Linked DNA regions of Rattus norvegicus. The protein of the gene in region 1 purifies or fractionates together with the protein of each later gene. This does not show direct contact. Links are inferred from orthologs where the notes say so. Each region holds a gene or a part of one and is shown in the gene's direction. Other genes may lie near its edges.

The links.
Region 2: the proteins of Mta2 (region 1) and Zfp512b purify together in Homo sapiens (affinity purification with mass spectrometry; 3 studies listed by BioGRID and IntAct, with this or other methods). This does not show direct contact. The link is inferred for Rattus norvegicus from reciprocal best matches to the Homo sapiens genes MTA2 and ZNF512B.
Region 3: the proteins of Mta2 (region 1) and Bcl11a purify together in Homo sapiens (affinity purification with mass spectrometry; 4 studies listed by BioGRID and IntAct, with this or other methods). This does not show direct contact. The link is inferred for Rattus norvegicus from reciprocal best matches to the Homo sapiens genes MTA2 and BCL11A.

The regions. Positions count from the first base shown.
Region 1 is NC_086019.1:215,264,900-215,270,960, forward strand, and holds the start of Mta2 (metastasis-associated protein MTA2), read left to right. Parts: upstream 1-2,386; 5' UTR 2,387-2,769; coding exon 2,770-2,797; intron 2,798-3,891; coding exon 3,892-3,959; intron 3,960-4,237; coding exon 4,238-4,331; intron 4,332-5,849; coding exon 5,850-5,967; intron 5,968-6,061. Other genes in the region: Eml3 (echinoderm microtubule-associated protein-like 3), read left to right, coding at 8-95, 1,007-1,105, 1,337-1,467, 1,551-1,754. UniProt on the Homo sapiens protein: May function as a transcriptional coregulator. Acts as a component of the histone deacetylase NuRD complex which participates in the remodeling of chromatin.
Region 2 is NC_086021.1:189,071,985-189,077,831, reverse strand, and holds the start of Zfp512b (zinc finger protein 512B), read left to right. Parts: upstream 1-2,624; intron 2,625-3,988; exon of another isoform or gene 3,989-3,994; coding exon of another isoform or gene 3,995-3,996; coding exon 3,997-4,120; intron 4,121-4,357; coding exon 4,358-4,500; intron 4,501-4,788; coding exon 4,789-4,917; coding exon of another isoform or gene 4,918-5,010; coding exon 5,011-5,597; intron 5,598-5,697; coding exon 5,698-5,847. UniProt on the Homo sapiens protein: Involved in transcriptional regulation by repressing gene expression. Associates with the nucleosome remodeling and histone deacetylase (NuRD) complex, which promotes transcriptional repression by histone deacetylation and nucleosome remodeling.
Region 3 is NC_086032.1:102,228,830-102,235,022, forward strand, and holds the start of Bcl11a (B-cell lymphoma/leukemia 11A), read left to right. Parts: upstream 1-2,850; 5' UTR 2,851-3,092; coding exon 3,093-3,147; intron 3,148-3,397; exon of another isoform or gene 3,398-4,031; intron 4,032-4,342; exon of another isoform or gene 4,343-5,319; intron 5,320-5,325; exon of another isoform or gene 5,326-5,470; intron 5,471-5,479; exon of another isoform or gene 5,480-5,695; intron 5,696-6,041; exon of another isoform or gene 6,042-6,193. UniProt on the Homo sapiens protein: Transcription factor. Associated with the BAF SWI/SNF chromatin remodeling complex. Binds to the 5'-TGACCA-3' sequence motif in regulatory regions of target genes, including a distal promoter of the HBG1 hemoglobin subunit gamma-1 gene.

The DNA.
Region 1 (6,061 bases):
TCCCCAGGGGCACTCCAGTTTTATCACTCACCTTGACTGGTCCAAGGATGGGAATTTCATCATGTCCAATTCTGGGGATTATGAGATTCTTTACTGTGAGTGGCAGGGAGATGGGGATAATTTAAATTTTTTTTTCATCAGGCTGGTTTAGAATTCTTTATGTGGTCCATGCTGTTTTTGCATTTGTCATCCTCCTAATTATGCCTCCTAAGAGATTATGTGGGGGCCGACAGGAGGCTTCTAGTCAGGAGGGATGATGGTATTGGAGGAACATTAAGCAGAGGGGCTAATGTGGAGGGAAATGGAATTGGAATTGTACACATAGGAACAATCCAGTAAGTAGGTAAACTACACTTTCACACTGTCTCTTTTCCAACAAGAACTCAAGGGAGTTGAAAAATGGACCAGGCATTGTGGTGCATGCCTTTAATTCCTGAACTTGAGAGGCAGAGGTAGGTGGCTAGATTTCTGTGAGTTCAAGGCCAGCCTGATCTACATAGTGAGTTCCAGGCCAGCCAAGGCTACATAGGAAGACTGTGCCTCAAAATACAACATTAAGGAAAAAGAATGATGCACTAAGAAGACTTTGCTTTGGGATAGCTTCTTAGGGCAAGTGTATGGGGATGGGGTACTTTATTTAAGAAGGAGAAGCTGATGAGAAACTGTCAGTACTTTATCCAGAGTTTGAGGCAGGAATGGAAAGTTCCAGGGATGCCTAGGCTAGCTTCTCTGTTTCTGAGACAGGGTTCCCTCTGTCACCTGGCTGTCCTGGAACTCACTTTGTAGACAAGAGTGGCTCTCAACTCAGAGATTGGTCTGCCTCTCTAGTACTCAGATTAAAGGCATGTACCACTATGCAGGGCTAGCTCAAAGCCAAACCAAATCAAACAGCTTCAGTGTGAACTTAGGAAGCACACAATGGGGGTCATAATGGACACTGTACCTATGATCAGTTCACATTCTCTGAGGGAAGAGTGACAGCTGAGTAGGGACAATTTCCACCTAGGGGATGTGGCTGGAGGCTGCAAGCTGCTAAGGAATCGCTACGAAAGCAGAGACCGTGAGTGGGCCACCTATACCTGTGTGCTGGGCTTCCACGTCTATGGTGAGCCAGAATCCGGATCCCTTTAGGAGGGCTGGGGAAACAAGGAGGAACCCATTCCGGGCTCAGAATACTGGGTGTGTGCCACCCTCTGGGTGGGGGTCATGGCGGCAAATCCAGGTCAGGCGGCCCCTTGGGACTGGAAGGATTGTCTGGATCACACAGTGGCAACCTGAAAACACTGCAGCTCTAGGTTGTGGGTAGCAGCCTGGCTCAGGCTACCTGTTGTGTTAGGTGTGTGGCCTGATGGCTCTGACGGGACAGACATCAACTCCCTTTGCCGCTCCCACAATGAACGGGTGGTGGCCGTGGCAGACGACTTCTGCAAAGTACACCTCTTTCAGTACCCATGCGCTCGAGCCAAGGTGAGGCCTCGGGACCACTGGGCCCAGGAGGGTAGGTTTGGGACCCTGCCATTGCTGCAACTGTTTCTTTTTTTCTCATCTAGGCTCCAAGTCGTATGTACTCAGGCCATGGCAGCCATGTGACTAGTGTCCGGTTCACACACGACGACTCATTCCTTGTCTCCTTAGGTGGCAAGGATGCTAGCATCTTTCAGTGGCGAGTGCTGGGGGCAGGGAGCTCTGGACCCGCTCCTGCCACGCCATCTAGAACTCCCTCTCTGTCCCCTGCCTCCTCCCTGGACGTGTGATTGATGCCGGAAGGTCTTGTCCTTCTGGTACTGTGGTCTGGCCCCACCCTGGCCAAAACCCCTAGGACCAAGGACAGTCTTTTCCTGGGCTGGCTTTTTCTTTGACTTAATACATTCCCAATTGCGCATTTTCCTGGAGGGGTGAACCACCCCATTGCACACAATAACAGACTTGCTGGTTGAGCCGGGCAATTCAACTCTGACACTCTGCCCGGTGAGGGGCAATAAAAAGAAAAAAGTCACTGCCTGGTACTTCTGTGCGGCGGGTCCCTCAGGGGCCCAGTTGTGTTAGAATGAAAGAAAAAAGTGCAGGGCGGGAAGAGAAAAGGGAGCTCAGACCAAATATGCAAATAACAGGCAAAGCGGCTTGCAAATAACTTTAAGATGCGTGAGGGCGCGCGCGCGCCCGCCCTAGGCGCCACCGTCGGAGTTGCTAGGACCCATAGTGCAAAGAGTTAATTCTAGCTCCCCCACCGCCCTCGAGGGCGGGGTCGAGCTGTAACGGAAATAACCGAGCGCGGGGCCGCGGCTGAGCGAAAGGAGCCGAGTTCCTTCCGGAAGTGGCCGATCGGTGGGGTCTTGCTCTCCGACCTGAGCCGAGAGCTGGGCCTTGTTCTCCGGATCGGCCGAAGGTGTTCCGGAAGGAGGCGAACCCGGACGCGGGCAGGGCAAACCTTCCCAGCGGTTGGCACCACACGACGTCTGCTGGGACTCGGTGAGGACGCTAGGAGCCGGAACCTGACTCCGGTCAGGCAGGAACCGAGCTCGTTCCGGAAGAAGGCGAGCAGACCGGAGCCGGCCTCGGTATCCCGGCGTGAGGCTATAGCAGCGTTGTCGTCGCGCGGGCAGTGATGAACCGCGACGGCTGAGTGAGCAGAGGTGCCGGCTGCTCGGGCCCCATCGACACTTCCGCGAAGCGTCAGCCCCGCGCTGGGGGCTTCGTCTGGAGCTGAGCTTTGCCCCCGCGAGCCTCCCGGACCTCTTTGTGTGGCCGGAGGCGGCGGCGGGAACGGCCATGGCGGCTAACATGTACCGGGTAGGAGGTGAGTACCCTGGGCGGAAAAGGCTGAGGCCGGGACCAGGGAGACTCGGTGTCCGTAAGCGCGGGGGAGCCACATCTGGGGTTGTACGGGCCGCGGCACCGACCGGAACCGGAACCGAGCTGTGGTTCCGCGGCGGCGACGCTGTCGGGCTCAGAGTCTACCGCAGAGACATACCTGCAGCCGTAACGGTGCTCTGAGATCCGCGACTTGATCGCTGGGCTGGAAGTGGCCTTGGAAGGCGCCGGAGTGACCACCGGGCCAGCCGTTGGAGAGGCAGGCGCGCAGGGTTTTTCTTTTCTGTGGCGTCTTGTGTGTTCACCAAGGTGGGGCCTGAACAGTTTACTCAATTCTCCGATACAGGGGTTCAACTTCAGTGCAAAGTTCTTTGGACTCCAGGGAAGCCCCTGTTCTTATCTCTTAAGTCCCACTTTTGAGTGAAGATCTGACTTTAGAATTGGTTGTTGCAGGTGTAGGGGGTAAAAACTCATTTCCTCCTCTTTTCCTTGTTCTTTCTAGACAAGGTTTCTTCTCTGGGTAGCCTTGGCTGTCCTGGAACTTATACTGTAGACCAGGCTGGCCTCGAACTCAGAGATCCGCTTGCCTCTGCCTTCTGACTGCTGGAACTAAAGGTGTGTGGCACCACCGCCTGGCAAAGTATTTCCATAATCTCTTTTTCTTCCTTTCTTCCTTTCATCCTCCCTTCCTTCCTTCCCCCTCCCCCACCCCCTTTTTTTCTCTCTCTTTCCTTTTTGAGGCAGATTTCTTTTTTCCTTGTTTCTTTCTAGACAAGGTTTCTCTGTGTAGCCCGGTCTGTCCCAGAACTGTGAGTTGTAGAACTGACTGGTTATGAAGCAAGAGATCCTCCTGCCTCGGCCTCCCAGAGTGTTGGGATTAAACGCGTATGCCACTGCTGTCCAGCTAATGGCGAATACTTATTTTCTTAAATGTCTTCTCGCACATCTCCACTTCATCTCCACTTCATCTCCACTTCATCGCTACCTAGAATTTTGTCTCTTTTTGGTGCACACAGACCGACTTTCTCTTCTGGGTACTCTCCTCTGATCATCTTGTTTCTTCCCCACCCCCTTCTACAGATTATGTCTATTTTGAGAACTCCTCCAGCAATCCTTACCTGGTTAGACGGATTGAGGAGCTCAATAAGGTGAGTGAAGCTTTTTTTTTTTTTTAAAGATACAGGATACAGGGTCTCTCTATTATGTAACCTTGGCTGCCAGGAACTTGCTGTGTAGACCAGGCTGATCTTAAACTCATGGAGACCCTTTTCATTGGTCCTGAAATTATCTTTGAATTTTGTCTTCATGTTAAGTCTTTCCGTCTCTTCTACGTAGATCCTTAGGGAGATACTGCTGTTGTTGGACTCTGTGTACCTTCACTTTCAAATGGCCAGTTTTCCTCGTCATGTTTTTCTCCCTCCTTTAGACTGCAAACGGAAATGTGGAAGCAAAGGTTGTCTGCCTTTTCCGGCGAAGGGATATTTCTAGTAGCCTCAACAGCTTGGCGGACAGCAATGCTAGTGAGTGCTTCCATGCGTTACCCCTCTTCCTCTCTCCCCAGGATCTGAGGACTAGACATGTTCCTGCAGGTGTTTCCCCTGGTAGCAGGCCCAAGGCAGGGCGTGAGTTTGGGGGTGGAAGTGCCTGGTGTGCGGAGGGAGGCCTGTTGTTACTTGTTGGGGTTGGAAGCAGGGCGGGCAGACCATGATAAGGAAAGCCAGAGTGTGGCTTCTGTGTGGAGATATTTAGATAGGAAATGAAAGGAGCTTTAGAGAAGCAGGCACTTGGGGACATTTTGGGACAGCGGTTAGTGAGGCACTGGGGACATTGTGGGGACTTTGGGACGGTGGTTAGTGAGTGATGGTCAAGGTGAAGGTTTTGAGAAACCTGCAGAACAGGCAGGAGGCTTATGCTGTAGTGGGAGTGATGGAGGTGATAGGAAGCTAGGAGAAGTTCTTGAGCTTTCCTGCCTTCTTTTTCCTCTCCATTCCAACCTTACTGCTTTTTGCTTTGTCTGCATTTTCTCTGTGATCTCTATCTTTTTTTTGCTTAGTTTCTTTTAACTCCTTTCTTCTTCCTAGATTCTTTTTCAGGCCATAGTCGTGAAAGGGTTAATGAGCTGTGCCTACCAAGTTTCTAGGCCCTTTGGGGTTTCCAGCCCCATCTGGCAGGGGCTGACCTTGGCCTTATCCAATCATAAGGAGTGGGGGTGTGGTCCTTCTTGCCCTAGCCCTGGGTTTCCCAGAGTATACACACAGAGACAACCCCCCCCCCCCCCCCCCCGCAATGTACCCCCAACTTTTCAGGGGAACAATGCATCGACAAACATGTGCCTACATTTTCTGTCCTCTTCCACTTTGGTTGGCACTTAGCCAGGTTAACTGTTTCTACCAAGACTTCAGTGTGAGCTGCTGCCTCTTGGTGAGGAAGGTGTTGGCACTGGTTTCAGAGTTGCTCTTCTTGAAAGCCCACAAACTATTATTAGCCAAGTAGAGCGAGAAAGAGCATAAGGTTGCGTGTGATGTTTCAGACACAGCAACTAGTTCTGAAGTGTGGCAAGCTGGTGAACAGGCAGCAACCATGTGTGCTATTTTTACTTCTTAACTGGGTTTTAGGACCTTGGGCTGGTTGTGCAAGAAAGAGTTGATGTGACATCACACTGTGTCACGGCTTCGTTTGTGCTTTCTGTGTGGCATCAGTATTGGCAGCTAGGCTTGAGTGCACGTCCGTGGCACCAGTGTGCTCTCACATTAGAAGGATGTGATACTTCCTTTGATGGAGTTAAAGAGAGGACTGAACATCCACACTGAGGTATAAGCCAGAAGGAAAGGCTGGTGGGGTAAGAGTGAGGCCCGAGGAAGGTGAGGTACAGCAGCTGAGGTAGGGTGGCCTGGCCTGGCCAGCTGTTCAAGGTGCCTGTTTTCTTTTTTTTTTTTTTTGGTTCTTTTTTTCGGAGCTGGGGACCGAACCCAGGGCCTTGCGCAAGGTGCCTGTTTTCTGAGTTAGTTTCTGACTTGGTTTCTTCCTCAACATTTTAGGGGAGTTTGAGGAGGAATCAAAACAGCCAGGGGTCTCGGAGCAGCAGAGACATCAACTGAAGCACCGAGAGCTTTTTCTTTCTCGGCAGTTTGAATCATTACCGGCCACCCACATAAGGTATAGGACGATCAGGGTCACTGTGGCCTACGTGCCCTCATTTAAAAGATGGAGAGAAGAGGAGTAGTGTATTGAGATGGTAGATAAGAAGGGA
Region 2 (5,847 bases), on another chromosome or scaffold:
AGAAAAAAATCAGAAATAAATCTGGTTCTCAAATGCCCATCAGTGTTGGATCTCTGGGGAGCAACGGGGTGTCTAAGACAGTGCCTGCAGATAGAACCACTAGAGGGCAGTGGTGTTGCATCCTGGGAAAGCTACCTGGTAACTCCAGGACACCTGAACAAGCAAGATGTCTCAAGTAGTGGCCCTGTGGATATATCACCCCAGTTTGGGACACAGCAGCCCTGACACACTCAGAATAACAGCTTGTACACATGGAATGAGGCTCTCTGGATTGGGTTTCTGCTGGTTCATGGTCTGGTGGTGTAGCTCAGTGATATTGGACGTGGTTTGGTGGCCCAGGCCCAGGTTTGATTCCCAAGCACAGAAACAGAAACAGAGGTCTTCTAAAAGTAGAGAAGAATCCTTCCTTATCTATTCAACTTTATAGTGGCCGTCTGGTATTCCTAGGCTCAAGGCTCTAGCACAAATCTATTTCTGTGATCATTCTTTTTTTTTTTTTTTTTTTTTTTTTTCGGAGCTGGGGACCGAACCCAGGGCCTTGCGCTTCCTAGGTAAGCGCTCTACCACTGAGCTAAATCCACAGCCCCTTCTGTGATCATTCTTGTCTGCCTCTCAAATGTCTCCCTTTAAATTTAGGGTTCACTTAGGCAATCCAGATAGATCTCAGAAACTTCAGTCACTATCACTGCAGCTTAACATGGTTATTCGTTGGGGCTCACTCTTCAGCCTGACATACACAGCACATGAAGCACACACCCTAAACACAGACATACAAATAGGAACCTAGAGGTATAAGCCAGAAACAGTGAAACGACACCCAGACATGCTTGAATATGTACAAACACACTTGCAGGTTTGGCCAGACAAGGGTATGTATAAAGTTTTGTAACATCCCCATCTGCACAGATATAATTACCCAAGCGCACAAATGCTAGTGCATAATCACCCACTAACACTAGAAGTGCCATACCACATGGTGCATATGAGTGCACTACATTGTAAGACTTCTTGACACTTAAATATGCACACCTATACACACACACACACACACACACACACACACACACACACAATTACAGGGAGGTGGGGCTGGAGAGAGAATACAGTTGCTGCTCTTGCAGAATTGAGTTTCCAGCACCCTCCTCAGGCAGCTCACAACTGCCGGTAGCTTCAGGGGATCTAATGCCCTCGTCTACATTATGATGCCCACGCATGACCACCACCTGATAACACATGGCCACTTAGACACATAACAACCTATGGACGTTGGTAGATCACATTTGTGAAAACTCATATTTACACAGGGAATGCTGACAACCTTGAACGCAGCACCTCAAGGTATGCACACTGATCTCCACCAACATTCTGATGTTCCACATCCTGGGAGAATCACAGAAGGTGACACATGCCTTTAATCCCGGCATATGGGAGGCAGAGACAGGCAGATCTCTGAATTTGATGCTGGCCTGGTCTACAAAGGGCTACACAGTGAAACCCGTTTGAAAAAACAGTGGGGGCGGGGCTGGGGGGGGCAGGTGACAATGTTATGACTTCCAAATGAAAGCTGAATTTTTCTCTTCTCTATCGAGTGCTCCTGTGGAGCCCCAGACTTGGCACTCTACTTCCTTATCAGCCAGCCTGCTCCCCCCTAGTCTGTCAAAGGGGTGTTTACTTCTCTGCTTCATTTATTCCCAAGTCCTGTGGGCTGGGATGCCATTCACCACCACCGTCCAGTCCAGATCCTACCCTAGCTCTGGGCCAGAGAAGCTCGGTACTGGCTGTTGGTCTAGGACCACTGTTCACAAAGGGAGAAGTTGATTCAATAGCTAGTAACGCCAATAAAGCCTATTGGTCTTAACAGTGTCTAGATTGACTAAGGTGGCCTCAGGGACAGATAGAGGCTGAGGTACGCCCTGACAGCCTATGGATGTCCTGTAACTCTTCATAGGATCTACTTCAGCTAGCGCAACCACACAGCTTGCTTAGTCTGTGAGACATGATCTGGGGTAGTGTCCAGAGTTCCTGACGTGCCTCAGTTTACTGGACTGTCTACAAAGCGACTCCTGCCCTAGGCGCGAGTGACAGATCTCTTGGCCCTGGAGGCGAGTACCACCTAGTCTACGGATCTCTCCGTGGAGCGGCAGACCGGCCCCACTGGCCCCTTCCCCGCAGCGCCGGCCGCGTGAATACCGCGAGAGTTCGCCCCCTCCCCCCCACCCCACCCCCCCGCGCAGTAAAACTGTCAAAGGTAGGAGGGGCGGGAGCGCGCATGTGCGCAGCACGGCGCGCAGTGTGCGCCGCCCGGACCCCGCGCCCCGCGCCCCGCGCCCCGGCCCGGCTCTGGCTCCGGCCTTGCCCGGCCGCACCCCTTGGGCGCGCTGCAGGTAAGCGCCGGCACTGCCTGCTCTACCGCGGTCCCGGCGCCACCCGCGCCCCGCACCAGCCCTGTGCCCCGCCCGCCTCCCCGCCGCGCCCGGACCCGCGCCGCGCCCCACTCCCCGCGTCGGCGCCGTCCTCCCGCCTCCTCCTCCAGAAAAAGTCGCCATTTTGGTTCACTGCCTTCGCCCCCCCGCGGTCGGCGCTTCCGGGCCAGGCTGCAGCCCGTGTCCGGCCTCAGGTGACAGGTGGGTGGCCACGGGCCTCCAGGTGCGCCTCTTGGCTGCGCTCGCCAGGCCAGGCGGAGTGGCCTGAGTCGGTGGTAGCGTCCTCTTCCCTGGAGGATACAAGGGAGATCTCAGGGACCCCAGGTGGAGGAGGGGTTTCCTCCTACTCTGGCGACCAGGCCTTACCCCTAATTCTGATCTCTGAAAGACTGGAATGTTGCAGCAGGCCGTATACCCCGGGCCTCAAATGTAGTCGGGGTTCTGGATAACTCATTTCCTTCTGAAGCTGCAAAACGAGGATATCCCGAGAACTTTGGTTGACCTAAGACCCTCCTCCCCTCCCCTAGGCCCAGGATGTTGCCCTTGGCAATGGACAGTGATTGTCCTGACCTCTGACCTTAGCACTTTTGGATATAGCAGCCCCTACCCAACCACACTGATTTGAGTTGATCAAAAACTGTTAAGAGAAGGCTCACCTGCTTGAACCTTGCTCTTTGGTACCGCCCCCTTCTGTGGGTTTGGGTGCCTCTGAGAGGCCTCAACATGCTGTGCTCAGAGCCTTCCTCAGTTTTCAGGGTATGTGGTGCTTCGAGCAGAACAGTCCCTGGAGGCCCAACCCCAGGGCAGCAGCATGCATATTCTATAGCCTCTGCTTGCCAGTACTGGCTATAACTTGTTTAGCCGAAGTTGCTTCCTAGGCCAGGAACCTAGAAGCTATTGAAAATAGCAAGAAATGGTGGCTGCTAGGCTGTGGTGGTTCAGGGGCTGACCTGGTGCCTTCATCTGGGGGGGAAGGGGCCCTGGCTGCACAGAAGGTTGAGAAGGCAGGCAGGTAGGATGGCTCAGCAAGCATGGGGACCAAAATATATTTCTAGTGAGTATATTTCACTTTACCAACCAGAGAGGCAGGAGCATGTGGTGGGGAAGTGGCTCCTGTGCCTGTGGAGAGGTCTTCAAGGGTGCTTATCTGGGTGCTCAGCCATCCCTGAGGTGGATGATGTGGCTGCCTGTGAGCCAGCAACCATTACTAGTGTTAATTGTCCCCTATGAGGAATATTATCAGTCTCGCTCAATTGCATGGGCCCCTTGTGAACACAGGCCCCACCTGATCCTCAGCACCCTTTGGTCTCATGTGTCTAGATGAGGGTGTAGGTGAGTGTGTCAAATGGAGTAGGGTCTCTGCTCTTGTACGCTGCTCAAGCCTTCTGGGTTATTTAGAAAGACCTTGTCTGTGCAACCCCTCTCTAAGTTAGAAGCTTAAGTCACTTGTGTTTTGATGCGAAAGATACAGGAGGTCAGGCCTAGACAGTCATATTGGGGGCCTCTAGGATAACCCCAGTGGAGGCCTGGGTTGAGCCTATTCATCTCATAGGTCTGTACTTACTCTGCAGAGATGACGGAATCTTTCTGTGTTGGAGGAGGCCGTCGGCTTCAAGGATCCAGCAAAAGTGGACCTGGAAAGGGAGGCAGCCGGAAGGAGGTCCAGCTTCCCTTGTTGCAGGACCCACCAAAGCTGGGTGAGGAGCTAAGGCAGAAATCAGTTGTAGAGGGTACAGACAGTCAGTGGTAGAGTTACCTCCTTGGGCAGCCTGAGGACCTGTGTGGGCTGGAGATTGTTAGCCTGTTGTAGCCAGGCTCTTGACCTAGTCCCTGGGCCTTGATATGGGTGAGCCAAGACTCAGTCTGGGCTTCCTGCCCCTTGGGGTTCGGAGATATTGTGCAGCCACTGAGCCTTGCTGTCTCCTGTACTATAGGGATGCCAGTGGTCCACAGTGGACATACAGTGCCTAGCCAGGCCCCACTCTGCTTTGACCCCGGAAACTCAGCCAGTGACAAGACAGAAGGGAAGAAAAAAGGGAGGCCGAAAGCCGAGAACCAAGCTCTCCGAGATATTCCTGTGAGCTCCCTGAGGGTTAGAGTGGGGATCATTCTATTGAGTCTGTGAAGGCCACTTCCATGTCCTTACCAGCCCTCCATACATCCTGTGCCAGTTTGTCTCAGCATGTACCCTAGGGCCCTTGCGTCTGTTACCAAGTCCCAGTGGGCTGTTAGTAGTCACCAGCATAGGTCTGCAGCATGGCTTGAATTCTTGGTCTGCTCTTGAGGTTGAAGGGCTTATTTGGCTTGGGGGAGCTGTGAGTCTGGGTAGCTACAGGTCAGCAGCTTGGCCTTTTCCTCTGCCCAGCTCTCTCTGATGAACCAGTGGAAAGATGAATTCAAGGCACACTCAAGGGTGAAGTGTCCAAACTCAGGGTGCTGGCTAGAGTTCCCCAGCATCTATGGGCTCAAGTACCACTATCAGCGGTGCCAAGGGGTAAGGGGCTGTGGGTCAGGGAAGAGGAGGCCTGGGGGTGCATCTGGGCAGAGGCCCCCGGGGCCCCATCCCACACCTGCCCTCCCTGCCCAGGGCGCTATCTCAGATAGGCTGGCCTTCCCTTGCCCCTTCTGCGAGGCCGCATTCACCTCCAAGACCCAGCTGGAGAAGCACCGGATTTGGAATCACATGGACCATCCCCTACCTGCCCCCAAGCCTGGCCCAGTCAGCCGGCCAGTCACCATCAATCGGCCTGTTGGGGTCAGCAAGCCCATCGGAGTGAGCAAACCTGTTACTGTTGGCAAACCAGTGGGAGTCAGCAAGCCCATTGGCATCAGTAAGCCAGTCACAGTTAGTAGGCCTATACCAGTCACCAAGCCTGTCACAGTCAGTAGGCCCATGCAAGTCTCTAGGCCTGTGCCAGTCACCAAACCCATCCCAATCACCAAACCTGTGCCACTCACCAAACATATGCCAGTTACCAAGCTTGTGACAGTTTCAAAACCTGTGCCACTCACCAAGCCAGTACCAGTCAGCAGGCCCATTGTGGTCAGCAAGCCTGTGCCGGTCAGCAGGCCCATCGCCATCAGCAGACACACACCACCCTGCAAAATGGTGTTGCTGTCCAAATCTGAGAACAAAACACTTCGTGCTACAGGCAAGAACAGCAATAAGAAAAGGTACAGGAAGTCATTTGAGGTGGTGAGTTGTCATGTGTGCCTTGAGGGGGTGAGAGGGCTACTGGGTTTGCCTGGACCTCACCTTGCCTGCCACTTACAGGGCTGCAGACAGTTTGGACACCTGCCCCATCCTGCCCAAGCAGGCCAGGCAGGAGAATGGAGAGTATGGCCCATCCACTGTGGACCAGAGTGTGACCTTCCAACTGAGTACAGATCCTAGCAACAGCTCCCTGCTGCCAGGCAGCAGGCC
Region 3 (6,193 bases), on another chromosome or scaffold:
ACACCATTATATATAAATCACACATATACAGTATATATTTCTACAGCACGATTTGTCCATGTATCTGTCTCCTTTCTGTACAGACTTTTATGGATGAGAGCAAGACTCAAATCTGCCCAGCTTCATCCTGAAGGAGTCTGTCTCACTATTGTTACCTGAAGAGGCATTTATTTATTTATTTATTTATTTATTTATTATTTATTTATTTATTTTCCCGAGGCCTCCAGGTTGTACTTTCTTCTACACTCCTCTCACTTAACCGGTAGAGGTCCACCCCTGTAGCCCCTCCCCTCCCACCTCCCGCGGCGACATTCATTTGGTGATTCTAAGCCTGGTTTAACAAGCAAAAAAAAAAAAAAAAAAAAAAAACAAAAAAAAAAAACCAGAGGAAGAGATGCTGACCTGCTCTGAAGAACTCAGTGAAAAGGGGAAACGGTGTCGTGCAGTTACTGCAATAGAGTCTTCCTGCTCCTTAAACAGAATTCAAGACCCTCACCCCACCCCCGCCGCCGCCAGGAAAACCAGCTAGAGGGAAACAGCATTCCCCAAACCAGTCTAGCCCATAGCTCTCCTAGCGCAGGGCATCAAAACCTGTATTTCTAACTCAGAGGGGCCCGAAGCTTCGCCGAGTCAGGCAAGCCATTTTCTAATAGGTTTGAAACTTTCCTAAGACACAGGAATAAACAGCCACAAGCCAGTGAGGCTGGGAGGTGGGCGAGCATGTGCAAGCCCAGGGCCCTGCCTTAAAACAATACAATCCCCCGGCGGGTGGGCGAATTTACGGATAGGACACCTCTCAGAGGAGGGGTGCGAGGACTCTGGGTGCAAGGTCTAGAGGAGAGGGGAGGAAGGCTCCTGGCTCTGCAGAGACTCACAGACCTCCACCTGCAGTTCGGGTCTCCACCCTGCGCCCTCGGCGCCTCCCAGGGACTCTGTCCATCCCCCGCCCCCGCCTGGGCGCAGCTAGATTTGGACCCCGAGCGCGGTCTCCCTGGCTGTTGCTGCTGCGGCTGCTGCGGCTGCTGCTGCTGCTGCTGCTGCTGCTGCGGCGGCGGCGGCGGCGGCGGCGGCGGCTGCAGGGAGGTGCAGGCAGGCTGGGAGGCTGGGAGGCGGGAGACGCCGGGGGACTTTGCAGCACGTTTCTGAATAAACTTTCCAATCGCAGGGGGTGCTGTTGCTGTATATTTTACGTAAAACTGAAAGTATCCCACGCCAGAGCGAAGCCCGCTTTTTGACAGCGGCAGCGCGCGCGCGCGTGTGCATTAAAGAGACAGGGGTTTATTTCCAACAGGTCTTTCTCTAATTTCCAGGGAAGGTCTGCAGAGGGGACCGAGGGGGGCCTCCGGGGTCCCGGGTGTGCGTGGTGGCTGCTGGCGCCTGGGCAGCGCGGCCGTGACCCGAGGGTCTCACCACCGTGGTTCCCCCCCGCAGCTCCTGCTAGCCAGTTTTCTTTCCTTTTCCCCATTTTCTCTTTCCCCGAGTAACAGCTTAGGAACAATTGTGTTCTGTCCGTAAGAAACATTTTTCTGTCCTTCGCTCAGTGCTTTCGCAGTGGCCCGGAGTGGGAGGGGGTGTGTCCCTCCCCGGGATCAGGCTCCGGGACCTCCCGCGGCGCGGCGAGCAGGTTCCCAGAGACCCGGGCTCCTGGGGCTACCCGTGCTTTGTCCTCGGGCCGCCGACTGCTCAGAGGTGGACGCTTGGGCGCCTCGAGCCCTGGCCCCGAGTGCTCCCATCTGGGGACTGAAACACACCCGGAATCTGGCTCCTCGGTCTCTGTATCTCGACCTTTCTGTTCCTGCAATCCTCGGGAGCTGGGGATTCAGGGCTTCAGTGGCATTCAGCCCCCGACTGTTTGTAGGGTCGCTCAGATCCCGGGTCCCTGACTTGGCCTTGGGGGCGCGCTCTCGGCCCTCGAGCCCAGGCCTGCGCCGCCAGCCTCGCCCCAACCGCCTCTCTCCAGGCGGCGTCGGCTTCTCCCCGGGCCCCGGCACTGGCCTTCCGGACACACGACCCTCCAAACTTGGGCTGGATTTCTCTCTCCAGCGCGCTCCCGCCCGTCTTCCCTAGCCCGCAGCAGAGCTCTTAACTTGGACGCTCAGCTCTCAACTTCGGGTGATTTTTTTTTTTTTCTTTCCTAGCTTTCACTGGGCAAAGTTTCTCGAGCGCTGCCACGAGCTCGGGGCTAGTACTCCGGTCCCCGGCGTCCCCTGGCGGGGAGGGGAAGTGGGTGTGCGAGCGGAGGAGGGTGTCCGGGACCTACTCTACCTGGTTTCCCTCCGCCCGCTCCTCTCTTGACTCTGGGCTTGCAGCGTCTTGGAGCACTCTGCCCCCACCCCCCACTTCAATAATTTTTCATTTTGGGGTCGGTGAGTGTGTGTGTGTGTCGGGGGGAGTGGAGCGGGGCGCAAGTCTTGCTCCCCCTCACTCCTCCCTCCCACCCGGCCGCCCCTTTCTTCTCTCCGGGCCACGCCACCGCCGCGGCGCTCGCTGCGGCCACTGGTGAGCCAGCCGCCCCAGAGCCCCCTCCCCTCTGCCCGCCCCTCCCCCCAGGGGCCGCGTCTGGCGTCTGCGGAGCCCCCCGCCCCGCACCTCCCCCGCCCCGCACTGGCCATTGGCTTGTCCTGGTCTCTTTTTCATGTCCAGCCCCTGATGTGTGTCCATTGGTGTGAGCTTCCCCTTCCCTCCTCCCCTTCTCTCCTGCTCGCCCTGCCCATGTTTTGTGTGTCTCTGTCCATCCAGACTCCTGACGTTCAAGTTCGCAGGGACGTCACGTCCGCACTTGAACTTGCAGCTCAGGGGGGCTTTTGCCATTTTTTTCATCTCTCTCTCTCTCTCTCCCTCTATCCCTCTTCTCTCTTCCTCTCTCTCTCTTTTTTTTTTCTTAAAAAAAAAAAAAAGCCATGACGGCTCTCCCACAATTCATCTTCCCTGCGCCATCTTTGTATTATTTCTAATTTATTTTGGATGTCAAAAGGCACTGATGAAGATATTTTCTCTGGAGTCTCCTTCTTTCTAACCCGGCTCTCCCGATGTGAACCGAGCCGTCGTCCGCACGCCGCCGCCGCCGCCGCCCGCCCGCCCCGCAGCCCACCATGTCTCGCCGCAAGCAAGGCAAACCCCAGCACTTAAGCAAACGGGAATTCTCGCGTAAGTAACCCAATAATAGTAATAATAATTATTAATAATCACGAGGGCGCGCGGGACGCTAAGCAAGAGTGAGGTTAAGAGAGGGGTGTGTGCATGCATTAAATTTTTTTCAGGTGAAAAACCTTCGGTAGTCGAAGTAAAAAGAGATTAAAAGGGAAAAAGCCCCTCATGCCCTCTCGAACGAGAACCGTGTGCACTTTTGAGACGGCACGCATCTTTTTAATTTTTATAAAAAAATTGACTCCTCCTCTTTCCTTCTCTCCGCCGCTTTATTCCTTCTTTGAAAAAGGAATGCAATGATTTCTACCCTAGTTTTGCAAAAATAATGAACAATGCTAAGGACGCGGACACTCACATGCAAACCTGGGGGTGGGAGCTTGAAGGAAAGGGGGTTGTTTCCACTTCACTATAGGAAAATGGAGGGGGGGGGAGGGAGGGAGTCAAGTCTGAAAAACAATTCCTGGGGAGAAAAGAGGTGAGACCGGCCTTAGGACGCCAACGTGTGCATGGTCAAGTGTGCAGTGGGAGGAAAGTAGTCACCCCCACAATAGTACGAAAGTGGGACTGTAGAAGAGAGCCGCTGGCGCTTCCCAGTCAGCCGAGTCCGGGGAGAGGGGCTGCAGCGGCTGGGAGGGCCGGGTGACCGGGAAGGACCGGAGTCGCGCCCGGCGCTGCCGTCTTTTGTTCCGGCCGGAGGTGGGTGTTTGTCCCGCCGCCTTTTGTGCGGGCTCCTCGCGCTTGCCCTCCTGCGCCGCCACCGCTGCCGAAGGGCAGGAGCAAGGGCCGAGCGAAGAGGCAGCCAGGGGCACGCGGTAGAGGGAGGGCGGGCGGGTGCAGGAGTCTCCGCTGCTGGGTTGCTGCTGCCCGCCCCTCCTGGGTGAGCCCTGAAGGAGACGAGGCGAAGATGCGCAAAATAAATAAAAAAAATTAATAAATTTAAGCAACGCAAGAGAATGTACAATTTCTTGCTCCCCCAAAGAAGCCAAACATTCTGCCAGTCGTATTTTTCACCTCTTTCCTGGATTCGTTCGCACCCCCACCCCTGCAGAAATTCCAGTCTTTAATAGAGAAAAGAGAGGGGGAAAAAAGAAAAGGAAAAAAAAAATCCCTGACACCCCTTCCCCCAAACCCCATCAAGTTGCAAACTTAGAACCCGGCGGCATGGAGAGGGAAGCGAGGAACTCCCTCCTCTTACTATTTTTTGGAAGATTTTCAAAAAAAGTGGAAGTGGATTTTGATTGGGAAAAATCTCGTGTCTGAATGTTTACAAGCACCGCGTGTGCGGGAGCCTCCTGCCAACAAACAGACAGAGGACCGAGCGCGCCGCGGCAGCCCTGGAGCAGGCGGCCGCAGCGGCTGGGCCTCGCCCGACCTCGCCGTGCCCTAGTCTGGAGTCGAGATCGCCCACCCGGCGCTCGCCGCCCACCCGCCAGGCAGGGCGGCAGGCCACGCTGCGACTCCGCCAGCCCGGCCTGCGCTCTGGTCCGCCCCTAGCACAATACCCAACCCTCCCACCGACCTCTCAGACAGCGAAAGCTGCTGGATGAAACTCGGTTTTGCAAAACATTTTTTTTTTTTTAATTTTGCAAAGCAACTGTAAAGGCGAGTTTTGCTAGTCCCTTCAACTGCACCCGGGGTACTCTTTTAGGTTCCTCTTGTCCTTAACTCTGGGGCCGTTGAGAGGTTACCACGTGCTTACAGCCCCCCCCCCCCAAATCTGGCCAGTAGCCTCTCGGACCAAAGCAGTTTCTTGGCTAGGTTGGGGAGGGGGCGGGGCAGGAGAAGTGTGTTGAGTGTGCATTTTGGGGGTGCAGGGTCCCCGCACTCAGTGAGCCTCACCTTTGGGTTCTTGCCCTCTACCCTGGGCCTGTCTTGGGCAGGGGTTTCTGTGAGTTTATGTAAAGTGTTAGTGGCGGTGACGATAATCTCTACTTGAGGTGTGCTGGGAGAGGCTGGTGGTGGGCACTTAGGAAAGTTTGAGTCCAGTAAGAAAAGACATAGAGCCTCCCCCCCAAGCCCCCCTTCAATTCCTTCTTTTTCACTCATGACTCTTATTTTTCGACGAAAGCTTGAAGGACCCCCATGTCTCTCCTGCATTTGTCGAGGGTGGGGTGCTCATTGGGAATTGAATATTTTTCCCTCTGGGCCCTGGAACTTGTCACACACTTCAGAAGCTCCCCCGCCCTGGCACGTTGCGGGGCCCTCCCTCTCCCCACCCCCGCGCATCTCTCCCTCGCCGCTCTCCCCCGCCCCCACTCCCACCGGCCGCGCCGGATACAGAGCAGACGCGGCGCGCGACGGTGTGAAGTTACAGCCCGGCCAGGTACCGGCGGGAAGGAAGGGCAGTGTTCGCAGGACTCGGGAAAGCCGGGACATTGGGACTTTCGGAAGGATGCCATGAGGGGCGAGAGGGACAGTGTGGGAGGCGCAGTCCGAGTTGCTCAGTACTCTCCTCCCACTTAGGTCTCTTCTGGGCCTCTCCAGGCTGGGAGGGCTAGTCTCGCTGTTGTCCCGGGAAGGACACTGGACTAGGAGGCCAGATGGAGGGGTATGTGCAGGGATCACGTCTTTCATTTTCTGGGTGCTTAGAGGGCAGGAGCCTGCCGGGTCCGTAGGACTTCCCCTCCACCCCCTCTACCCCCCCACCCCCGCCCCCAGCCCCGTCCTCAGCTACGTGGACTGAATGAGCCATTTGGTCGCTAGGAGGCAGAACAAGATCAAGAAAAGCTCCACGAACTTGAACCTGTACCAGAGCCTACCCCACCCCCTGCCCGGCGTTTCTCGGCGGGGGAGGGACGAGCGTTGGGAGAGTGGGGGTGGGGGGCAACGAACGGTTAGGCTGAATTCCCTTTCTCCACCCCCCATTACCCCTTAGGTCTTTGTTCTTCATTTTGACTTAAAAAAATGCTTTTGGCTAGGGCCGTGGAGAAGCGCTGGGGCGCGCAGCCGACACCCCCACGTGCGAGAGGACCCGGGAGCTCCCGGCGGGGAGCCGGGTGCACGCTGGGGTCCTTTCTGGGAAGGCATTTTTGGTGGCGAGGGATGG